2 linked regions of the Drosophila melanogaster genome follow. The gene in region 1 interacts genetically with each later gene. Each region holds a gene or a part of one and is shown in the gene's direction. Other genes may lie near its edges.

Region 1 (5,441 bases):
ACAGTATATATCCTACTCTATTGTATTTATTGTACGGCTATAATTTGTGTATCGAAAATCTTTGATTGATTGATTTCTATTTAGTTTAAGTTGCCTCCGAAATTGCCTTATGTTTGCCTAAAAAAAAAAATAAAACTAAAAATTTAAATTACCAACAATTTAATACTAATTTCTAAGTAATTTATATGTATATGTATGGTATACCTCTATGATAAACCCTTATATAAATATACTTATATCATTTGTGTAGCCTTAACTTAGAACTTTTCAATTGACGGTATTAATTACGCATAATAAAACTTTATATTTTGTTCGTTAAACAAACCCATTATTGTTTCACTCAGTTCCAAATCTCACACAACCAAGCGATAAACCTTTGAAGAAACGAATTTTGAATTAGTGACAATTTTTGCAAGAAAATTAAAACCAACTATACAATTACATATATTAATACCACATATATGCATCGCTCTCCCCATTTCAAGTTTTGAGTCATTTGCGGGAGAGTCAACTAGAATGGCATTGTACTCAACCTGGTAGGTCTGAGAAAATCGCTGTATATTTGTAATACTTAAATACTATGCATATCTATATCTTATACAGACAGACATATGTATAGTATCTTTAGAGGGTTAAGTAGGAAAGGTAACTGATATTGAATATTGAAAATATCAAGGCAGAGAAAGGTATCGAAATACCGGCAGATAAATGAAGATAACACAAGTCAAAACATATCAAACTCGTGCCCGATTAAAACTATATATACACATATATATACACTATATATATATATATATATATATATATATATTAATGAAAAGCAGGCGCAAATTAGGCGCAGCAAATTTCAAAAATAACAAAGAAGGAGAATGATAAAATTATTAAATATGCCGAAAGTCTAACGGGAAATGCAATTTTATTTGCATAACTCAACAGTTGAGTCTACTTTTATCCGTAAATAATACGAAAATAATGATTAATATTAATTGAGATATTAAAAGTAAAAAAAAAAAAATACAAGAAATGGCAAGTATTTGTCTATTTTGAGGCTCATTTATTTAACATTTTCGCGAAACCAAGTACGACCTTCTTTTTTCAAATCGAATAAAGATCTTTGCTAATATTGTAAAAAACAAATTGATTTTTCAAGCAAATGAAAACCAAAACGTATAGCTAAATATTATTATAAAACTTACATAAAACAGAAACAAAACTCGTATATATATATATATAAATATAAATATCAGCCTTGTTCTTTATATATATATTTGAAAAACCAAAAAAATGAAAAACCATACAAAATATTAATAAATTATTAACAACTATGAAAAAATTGATACAAAAAAAAAAAATACATAAAAAATATTTAGCGAAAATATTGTATTGTGAGTTTAAATGTATTGTTGCATACGAAACCAAAGAAATGACATAACAAATCGGTACACCTAAGTTAAATATAAATCTAAATGGCAATACCAACCGATTGGCAAAACAAAAAGAAAAAAAAACATAATATCATCTGATAATATCATATCAGATCGGATCAAAGCAGATCAGAGGAAATTCGAAACAGAATGAAAGGTGAACCATTTTTTCACAGACAGCCACCAGCGATAAGAACTAACGAAGTTGAATTCAATTAATTTACCAGACAGTTTATTTCCAATATAATTCAATATTAGCAGATGGGCTCGCCCGCCCGCAAGACAAATTATACAATTTGATAACGATAATATTTTCATGCGATCACGATCGAGGAGGAAAGCACAAACGATATGCCCTGCAATGCAAACGGGGAAAAGAGCAACAAATTGCAGTTTTCAGCAGGCGACAAATTATAATAATACAATACGAATAATAAATAAAAACTTTAACAATTGTTTTGTGTAATTGTAAAGAAGTGGAGTTCTTTTCACCGCCAGTGGGATGAATGGGATGTTTATGTGATGATGGTGAAATGGGTAAGTATTTATAATATGTTACAGATTGGACAAGATTCTTAGTAGTTTCTTATAATATCCATAAAAATGAAGTCAAACATATTTAGTAGAGTATAATATATTCGTTGTAGCCGCATTTAGTGCGCTTGGCTTATCAGCGACCTCTCTGTTCGACTGATCTTTTGCAATAAGTGGCTGACCCCTCAGATAGCAGACAACGTGGCGATAGGCTGTGTTAAAAACCCAAACACGACCAAATATTTACAAATCCAACTTTTAGATAAAACAGACAAACAGCAAGGATCTCAGTTTTCACTCGATTCAAGCGTTTTTACCTGGTGAAGAAATCGAAAAAGATTAAGATGGATTTCAATTTGCGACTGAGACACCCTGTATGAGCACAGCCGTTGATTGGATTGGATTCACTGACACTTATTTAGTTGTTTTCCGGCCGAGCAACTTGAAGGTTGTACAATGCGATCTCTGTGCTTCGTTTTGCTGTTCGTTTGGTTTTTCTACCAAAACGAAGCTAAGTCTAAGGTTTCCTGTAAGGATGAAGCTGGAAACGATGTAGATTGGTAAGTATTTCGATTAACAGATCAAACAATAAATAGTTTAGTTCTTAAAACATTACTAAATGTGCTTATTAGAAAAGTTACTTATAAATATTGGCCTTTCACATACTTTTTCATTTATCTGCAGTCGCTGTTTGCATATCATTAACAATTTGCAAACACAACGTATTTTAGTTATTTATATACACTGCTGTATTGAGATTATTCTAAAAGAGGCGATAAACAAATTGAATATGATGAGTTCAAGTTCAAGCGGAAAAATTGATAATAATTGTACAATACTGTGTGACAAGAAATTAAAAAGTAATTAGTGTGTTATTTTGTTTCCTAAAATGAGAGATTTAAATCAAAGTTGTTTGCTACAAACAAACTTAATCAATTTGATAACAATAACATCATTTTTAATACTTTTCCATTTCCAAAAATAGATTAAATGGTAATTATTTTTTTTTTTTAATATCTTAAAAACAAATTTCCAAAGATTGAGGGGTTTTCTCGATGAGATAAACATGTTTTTAATTTATTTAATAATTTTTTTTCAAATATTCCTTTATAATTTTAGGTGGCACCTTTACAAACTGCCCAAGCACTACCAGCACAACGATTTGGGCAAGGACACCAGTGGCTTGAAGTACCTGTACGTGACCAGCCAGAACTATGACACCTGGCAGATGTCGGGAAAGTTCATTAGTGATCCCCTATCGCTGCCTGCCCAGACCCTTAACCCCTTGAACGACGATCCCAGCCACACTCTGCTGGCCGCCTACAACGATCAACAGCCGAATGGCACGGTTTTCAGCAGCGGTGGTCATGCCAAAGGAGTGGTGGCCAGTGATGGGGAGACGGCTATTTGGATTGTCCACTCGGTGCCCAAATTTCCAACAATTCCGGACTACAGCTATCCCACATCCGGCGAGCAGTACGCACAGAGCATGCTCTGCGTCACACTGAAGGGCGAGGATTTGGAGAAGGTTGGTCAGATTCTGGTGTACAATGAACCGCACTTCTACTATCAACGCAACCCGCTGGCCACTCGCTCCGATGAGCTGTTCCCGAGCCTGGAAAGGGCTCTGCATGGTCAGTGGCGGACGGAATCACCGTTCCAGAAGGACTTGGAGGTGCGCAGCTTGGACGGCAAGAAGTTCCGGCTGTTTGGCAAGAGTGGACGCGCCAATGTGGAGCTGTACGCCGATGTGGTCGCACCCACTCTGGATGTCAGTCTTTTTGTGGAGGCGTGGCGCGACGGTGCCGGCAACTTACCGAATAGCTGCGATAAGTCCGATAAGGTTCTCAATGTGGAATCCATTTCCAATCCGGAGCTATCGGTGGACTTTAAGACCACACAAGATCACTCCAAGTGGGCGGTATCTCGTCCCACAGGCATTTTGATCTACCATTGGCGAGTTGGCGGCGGAGATTGGATTTGTGTGGGCGACATCAACCGGCAAGAAGGTCAGTTGCATCGTGGTGGTGGAACCGTGTGCCACAAGAGCGCCAGGGTATCCAATCTGTACCGCCAACTGGTCACCAACTACGACAAGTGCGCCCAACAGGAATAGAATCTGAACTAACTAAGACTATTTGTAAAGTTGCGTCAACAATTAAATAAACACCATTTTTGCATTACATTTAATGCATAAGAAAATTGAAAGATGTTGAAAAGAGGTATTATTTATACAAAGAACTTATTTGCATTTGTTATAGATAATATATAATAATTTAAATTTTAAATTTAAGGCGCCGTGCAACTTCTTTTCTTTTTCTTTCTGCTCTTTTCCGGACACTCGCTAGCGCCATTTCTTCAACGCACTCTTGTCGTACATTTTAGGTACTAAAAAGCGCATTGAAAACTAGGTGGCGCTCGTACTTAAACTTTTCTTAATTCTATAGCTGTTGCTAAACTATTTGCCAAAAAAAAAAAACATTGAAATATCAACAAACATGTATAAATTATTTACAAATGTGTCAATTGCATTTGGTTGCATCTAATTATTCATTTATAGCGCCACCTATCCGTCACTCTTCTACCCATTATTATCACATATACCAGAAAATGCAAATTCAGTATGACCATCAGCTGGAAAAAGAGCACAGCTGTTTACAAAAACAAAACCAAGCGAAGAAGCGAAAATTATTGGCGATTTTTAAAAATCCAAATTAAAACTAGATTCGGAGTCGGAAAACCTTCATAGATTTGGGAATGTTCTGCTGCCTACGCACCTGTCTCAATGGTGGACACATAAGGAAACCGACGGCAACCAGTCGCCTGCGGGAGCCCGATGTTCACCTGGATGCAGCGCATATGGGTAAAATTACACTAAATTCAGAAGGATTAAGATACACTATCCTTAAAATGGTCAACTGAAGCGATTGCGAGAGAACTAATGTGTTTTTCCAAAAGATATGTAGCTTCGATAATAAGTGATACCCCAATAAAGATATCAACATTCCCAATTTTATCGCACAATTCAGATACGTGATCAGATATTAATATATATGTACATACAATAGAAGTGCTTATATTCTCATTCAACAGGCTTAACCATCTTGTATCTTACTAATAATATGTATATCATATCATCCATTTGGCAGGACCTGATGTAATCCTGCTGTCACACCAACTGCGCGTAACGGGCACTGGCGGCGTCCTGGCCACGGCGCCTTTGGTCCAATCGAAGTCCTACTTCGAGGTGAAGATCCAGCACGGCGGCAGCTGGTCGGTGGGCTTGGCAACGCGTCAAACGGATCTCAGTCGCAAGAGCGGCGGCGGGGATCGAGAGTCCTGGTGCCTGTGCTCCGATAATGCCACACGCCACAATGACCGCGAGGAGTTCCGACCAGTGGTGCAGTCTGCTTGCACCACTCAGCCAGCGAGGACGAGCAATGGTATCCTGAACAATAGCGCTGCCAAAGCGGCCGGACTCAT
Region 2 (6,590 bases), on another chromosome or scaffold:
TTGTACAAGTGGGAAATGTGTTTTCCATAGGAAATGCAATACCTTCAGATTGGCTGTTGACTTTTCCATTTATTTCGCAAGTTTCTGTGGAAATAAACGAGTGACAAGCGGACCAAGGAAAGTTCAGTGCGCTTTTGTCTATGAAGCGTTTTAATTACCAAGCCGTTTCATTCAAGATTTTTAGGAATTGAAATCCCATGTGCAGTTCCCCTTCGGAAGACCAGCTACAAAACGAAAAAACCCCAATCCAGAAATCTGCATACCAAACCTCTTCTGGGCATTACTTCATGCAAATATCGCTGCAATTTTTAGCTCCATGGCCTGCGCTTTTTATCGTTTTGTTCTCTATTTTATAATATATGCGGTCAGATCTCCATGGCTCAGCAACATTTTTTTCGAGGGGCAGAACGATGAATGCCTCAGACGCTTGGCATGTGCTGACAAATGTGAAACTTCCCTAATCAGCATGGCATGGAAGAACTGACCCAATTCGTGGGCTCGCCAATCGAATGACGCATTCCTCGACGACTTTTGAACCGGAGAACCTGAGCTGCGTCGCGAAGGGGGTGGAGGGGCAGGCCACACTGGGCATCCAACCAAATGACAACGGACAAGCAATTCAATGTCCCAATGCTGGCGTAGCCAAATCCAAGTCCTTATCTAGATGTCCGGCGAACAGTCGCCCAGATCAAGTTGTAAGAATGCGAACATGGCAACAAATGTGCTCGACTCAGGTGTTAAAACTTTTGCATTAAAATGGCGCCCAACGCGGAACGGACACAGGCCTCTCGATCCCAAACCATGTGGCCCCCACTTCCTTTGGCTGTGTAAAATTAATACTACACTCGGGGAGGTCCAGCCCGATCAAAACTGAACGTAAATCTTAAACACTTTCGAGTTCTACCCTGCCCCCGTGCGATTCTCTGATTCTCCGATTCACCGACTCCCTGATTCTCCATTGTGCAGCAGGCTTTTGCAGTCGCACGATCAGCACGTTCAGTTCCGAGGGGATCTGCTGCTTCAAGGGGGAAACTGGGATGCTGGATGGTGGATGGTGGATGGTCGACGATCGGCAACCGGTCCACGACAAATGTGCCAGTCTCAGCAACAAGCCAGGCCGCAGAAATATCTGCAAATGCAGCGAATTGTGCGCAGATTTGTTTACAGAAGACTCTCCGAGTGGCAAACTGAGGGAAGACGGATTATCGTGGAGGGAGGAGCACCATGATCATCGTAGATATAATTGACGACATGTTGTCTCACGATCGTGCTAAAGCGATTAAAGCTAATTTAATGCCCGACTCGGAGATTCACTGCACCCAAAATGTATCCACCAAGAAGTGCACTCCCTCACTTTGAGGTCATGCTCGATTTTCTCTGTGGAAAGCCTTAACAAAATGCCATAATCAAATTTCTAGCTTCACTTTTGTTATTTCTTGTGGCTGAATTTGTTGTGGGATCGAATGGGCTCATTGTCGGAATTCCATTGCAATTCTATTGCATGTGTGCATGTCGCCTATTTACTTAAATGCACTTGTTTCACTTGCTCACTTGTAATTACATCCAGGCTTTTAAGTCAGTCTCTGTTGGGCCAAAAATCAAGTGTTGAATCAACATGAATTGTTTAGCACACGATTCAATTGTTTCGTCTCGACGGAGACGTATAAATAAATAAATACGAGACGGCCATGAAATATATATTTATTAGAATAAAAAATGTTAACCGCTATCGGTTTATGACAACTGTTTGTTTAATTGTAAAATATATATTCAGGAGAGGTTTAAAAGATATTTTACAAGTTGCCTACCTTAAAGCTTAACTCTTTTACTAGAATTTCATTTGGATGAAGTTTCAACACACTTTAAAATTTATGTGCTCAGTAATTTGCCAGAGCTGCCCCAATCAACATCAATTGGCTGCCATACTGTCTGAGCATTCTAATTCATTTAATCGAGCTCATTAGTGGCTCTAAACCATCATGTTTATGCTACCCAATTACCATCGGAAGTGATTCACTTCTGCATGGACGGAGAGATAGCCCTGTGATTTTGATTAGATGCCAATTTGTTTATGGCACTCACTAATCCGTCCACAGATCGGATATCCCATATACCATATACCATTTGCCATATTCCATATACCATGTCCCGTATCGGTTTGATTATGCCCAGCACACTTCGGCTCGTCTTACATGAGCATTTCGATTTTTGGGAGCTCCTTCTCTAATGCGTTACGGATCCATCGAACCCAATAAGTTTTAGGCGTTTTAAATTACCCGATATTCGCGTTGCGCGTTTTACGATTGCCATTAAATTTGCTGGCGGTTACCATTGAACAGGCCGAGAAACTCCAACTGATTAGCTTATTAATTTGTTTTATGTGCTCGAATGGTGGCGGAGTTGTTTCGAATTAATTTATTAATTTATGCGCATAGGAAAACCAACTTTTCAGTTGGCGTTCGCCCAGCGGCAAAATCTCATTCACAATGGGCATTGTTCGCCCGCATCCGAGAGATACTTACCAAAAAAAAAAACTAACATAATACAGAGAAAGAAACAACAAACTTTGAGGAAAAGTGGTTTTCGACCCACCCCTGTGCGATATTCTTGGCCCTTCGATTTGGGGAATGGGAATGGGCGGAGTCTAGGCGCATTCTCTGGCCGGCGGAGGGAGCGAGAGAGGCTGCTCCGAGTGCGCACCGCTCACACGAACTCGTTTCGAGTGCCGAGATACATTTAGCCGGTACGAATACGAATCCAAATAATCCGAGCCAGGGATTTCCACTCAAGCAGCGCCGCTGCCGCTTCGCTGCCGGCGTCGCATTGAGCCACAAAAGTCGGCTGTTTCGGTGGTTCAGTCGATTCGAGCCACTCAAAGCGAGCGCTACGGGAACGGTCGATCCGCCCGAAGTCGCAGATAAAAAACCTACCAGATACATTTCGTTCGTTCTGAAACGCTATAACTAAATATATATTCGATTTCAAAACATCGACCATACATTAACTACCTGAAACGGTCGAGTTCACTACCCCGCCACGCGTGTGTGTTTTTGTGTGTGTTGCAAGTGAAAGTAATCGCAAGTCCACAGAATGGTCACCCTAATGCCATACAACTACGCTGCCCCGCGATGCGGATTAATTGACAAAATGATCGAGCCAAAGGTAATCACATAGTCGTAGTGCTCTCCTCGCGAAGCTTTAAAAGTGATGTGGTTGAGATGGCTGTGCCGTCGGTTATTACTATTACTAGTATTGCTAGTGTTATGACTATGATGACGGCGGTAGCTTCCTTGGTGGTTGCGCCTTGTGGGGCTTCACCTAGTCGGGGAGTAGTATCCAAAAAGTGAAACTCCATGGCGAGATAACGCTTCGACTCTCATTTATCAAGCCTGGATGGAGTCTAATATATGTACGAACAACAGTTTAGGATGCTTTAAGCTGATCTATTGGTCGGTGTGATATCATAGCACACTTCATATATAAATCTAGTCCAGCTTGACAACTAAGTCGTGTTCAGATGCTATTCGATTTCATAAATCTAAGCGAATAAGTCGTGCAAATACACTCGAAGAAATACAATTTCATTGGGTTGCTTGAAAATGTATGGAATGTTACTCATTCACAGAGGATTATCAATTTTATAGACCCATCCTGCGAAGAAAAGCGCTTTAATGACTGCTCATTGTTGGGAAATCGTTAATGGGGATAAAGATTATGGGCACCTGACCAAAATTTTATTACAACGCATTAATCGGCTTAACTTTTGGCTGTGGGGTAATGAAGCAAACAAGTTGAGTCCCAAAAGGTCATTAAAAACGCTTAATAAAGTGCCGAAATAGTGACAAACGTTTTTCCAATTCGCTGCTGATGCATTTCTCCCATCAAATTACCAAAGCCTTTTCATTCACTGCACGCTTGCGATGCAAAGTCTGGCCGAGATTAGCGTAAAGTTCGTTTCCCGACGATTTAATGGAACGGCATTCTCCAGGCTTTTATGGGTCCCTAAACTACGGCTAAGACAAAGTCGGATCGAAGGAAACGTGACGAACGTGGAGTGGCCGGATGGCCGGATGGTTAAGGCGAAATATTAATAGAGCATAAATTACAGCTCTAGTGGGTCTCTGGGTGCCGGCTTTATGGGAATTTAAAGAGCCTGGCCCACAAAAGCCAGAGCTGGGCTACGGCATTCGTCCAGCGGCATTAATCACATTTTAATTAAGTTTAAGCCGTAATCGTAAAAATTAACACGCCATAATTCAACTGCGACAATACGCGCTGCATGTAATTTATGACAAAGAGAATTCACATCGGTGTGCGTGTGTGCGAGTGTGTGGGGGGGGGGGGGGCGGTGGAGGAGTCGAAATATTGATTATGGCCACTGCGATTGACACTTGGCGATTGTTGATTATACTACCACGATCGTGGCCCAAAACGTAATTAACGTGCCAAAGTGTTAAGGTGCATGGGATAGGTCCCATGCCATAGCAGCCCCTTCCTTCGATTCCACTTCGTCCACCAGAAGATACAAATTTTCCTCTTGTTTATTTTGATTTTTATCGCGGGGACTCGAGGGGGACTCAAGGGGGCTCAAGGGGTTTGTAGGGGTCTTCGGGGTCTTAGGGCCGGGTTAATAAAAAATTTGTCGCCGTCTTCTTGTCTTGTCTTTTGTTTGCCTGCCTTTTTGTGACCGAGTGTGTGTGTTTTAATCTTCTTCTAAAGCAGCAGAAGAGACAAAGAGATTACGATCACAGGAATTTCGTTAAAGATGCCCACAAACAGGTCTTTATACCACATATCTCCCACTCTTTTCCGCAGCTGGAACCAACCAAGCCGGCCCAACCAAAACCCCCCCAGATACTGATTCGAGTGTTGTCTGTGTTAATGTTTACGTTGTCAGCTTGTGCCATAAATTAGTTTAGTAAAAGGTTGCATTTGACTCTTCCCTTTCCCCCCCCCCTTTTTTTTGTTGGCCCCTCACCAGCTCACTTTTGCATACAACTTCGGACTCGAATTCGGTTGCTCGTGCAGCACGCAATCCTGCAGAATTCGCGACCCGAGATCGCAACTCCAATGCGCAGCTCATCGAAACGCTACCGTTCGGCAATCTGTCCGCTTGTCCGCCGCTGCGCATGCGCGTGTTCCCTTGGTCCGTCGACAAATCTGAGCAAACTGCGTCCTGCTGCCCCCCACCAGATCACCGGATGATGGACAGTGCGTGCGTGTGGTCATCTCGCCGGACGGCAGAAGCTGTCAACCGAAGCCGCTCAGCTTTCGCTCCCTTCCCGCCCTTCTTTTTTTGTTTTTTTTTTTTTTTGTTTTGAGGGACTTCTTTAGGGGTGGAGAGGCGCACAAATTCCAGCACCTGGGCTTGCCGCGCCCCTTAGTCCGCCTTCGATTTATCTGGCTTCCGTTCGATTTGCATACATGTCTTCTTAAGGGGCGTTTTTTTTTGACCATTTGTCAAAATCATTCTGGCAAAAGCTGAATTGTCAAAGCTTTATAAATATAAAACATAGTAAGTGGATGTAAAGGACGTTCTATTGTATGCCTAGAGACACAATCTTTCCTCGAAAGTCTGTATAGTTAAATGTCATCTTTGTTCCATCTAGCCATTTTGCATCCTTATCGAAATCCGCTGCCACCTGCTGCTTTTCCGAGCACTACCACCTCCCCCCCCCCCTTTCCGACTTCCCCTCCAAATGGCGCCGCACATCCGAGTAACAGTTGAGTTAAACTTTTTCCCACGCACAAGCTCGGGCAGCGAAAATCGCTTGGCGCAGCAGCAAATGGCGATTGCGAATTATGTAAAATTTGCTGTTTTCTTTCGCCACTCGCACTGGATAACCCAAATAGAGTTTCAGGCGGTGGAAGTGCCGAGCTCAGCAGGGCGATTCCACGCCAGACGCTGAGGTGTGAGTGCGTCCGCCTTGTTTATAAACAAATTCTTTCCAGGGCCGGCGAAAATCCAAAAAATTCACAAAAATTAACATTCAGTATAAGTATATATTTTAATGTGATTTTCTTCACTTTTTTTTCAGGTTAAACGTCCCAAGACAGACCACACGGATACACATGAACGCAACCGGTAGGTTCAAATAAAATAAAATATATATAAATATACTTATTCATAAACATGTAATTTAGGTACTTTTATGAAATAGATTTCTTAAAAGTGTAATATGTTCTAACTAAAACACATATAGGGGAAATAATAGTTTGCATATATTTATAGGTTGAAACCTAAATTATGAGTCTTTTACCAACTTGCTTCCCAGGATCCTGAAGAAAAAGGTTTCCCTCTCTGTAAGCGTAGACAATTTGTAGCAGAACGGCGAGAACATCCTAACACTTGACAAGAGGCTCACCATTTTCAATTGGTTTCGATTGAAAAGTGGCCATGGTCGGATCGTCGTAAGGGAAGGGAAGTGCACATTTTGCATGTGGTCCACACAACCTGCCACATGCCCCGGCAGAAATTCAAGGAATTCGGTGCACGCTTCCGCTGCGACACTGAAGCGAACCCAAGACCGAAATCCAAAATCCAAAAACCGAAATCCGAAAAACAAAAAGAACCGAAAAGTGTCAGGGCA

Evidence for each region. A genetic interaction does not mean that the proteins touch.
Region 2: of DNaseII (region 1) and eya, changing one suppresses a phenotype caused by changing the other (phenotypic suppression), as found in Drosophila melanogaster (one study listed by BioGRID).

The regions. Positions count from the first base shown.
Region 1 is NT_033777.3:18,016,999-18,022,439, forward strand, and holds DNaseII (deoxyribonuclease II), read left to right. Parts: upstream 1-2,376; 5' UTR 2,377-2,414; coding exon 2,415-2,518; intron 2,519-3,077; coding exon 3,078-4,074; 3' UTR 4,075-4,163; downstream 4,164-5,441. Other genes in the region: CG7785 (uncharacterized protein), read left to right, coding at 4,716-4,821, 5,108-5,441.
Region 2 is NT_033779.5:6,532,401-6,538,990, reverse strand, and holds the start of eya (eyes absent), read left to right. Parts: upstream 1-2,879; 5' UTR 2,880-3,090; coding exon 3,091-3,162; intron 3,163-6,038; coding exon 6,039-6,085; intron 6,086-6,590. UniProt on the Drosophila melanogaster protein: Tyrosine phosphatase thought to play a role in transcription regulation during organogenesis through its intrinsic protein phosphatase activity. The phosphatase activity was shown in vitro. Appears to function together with So and Dac in eye development.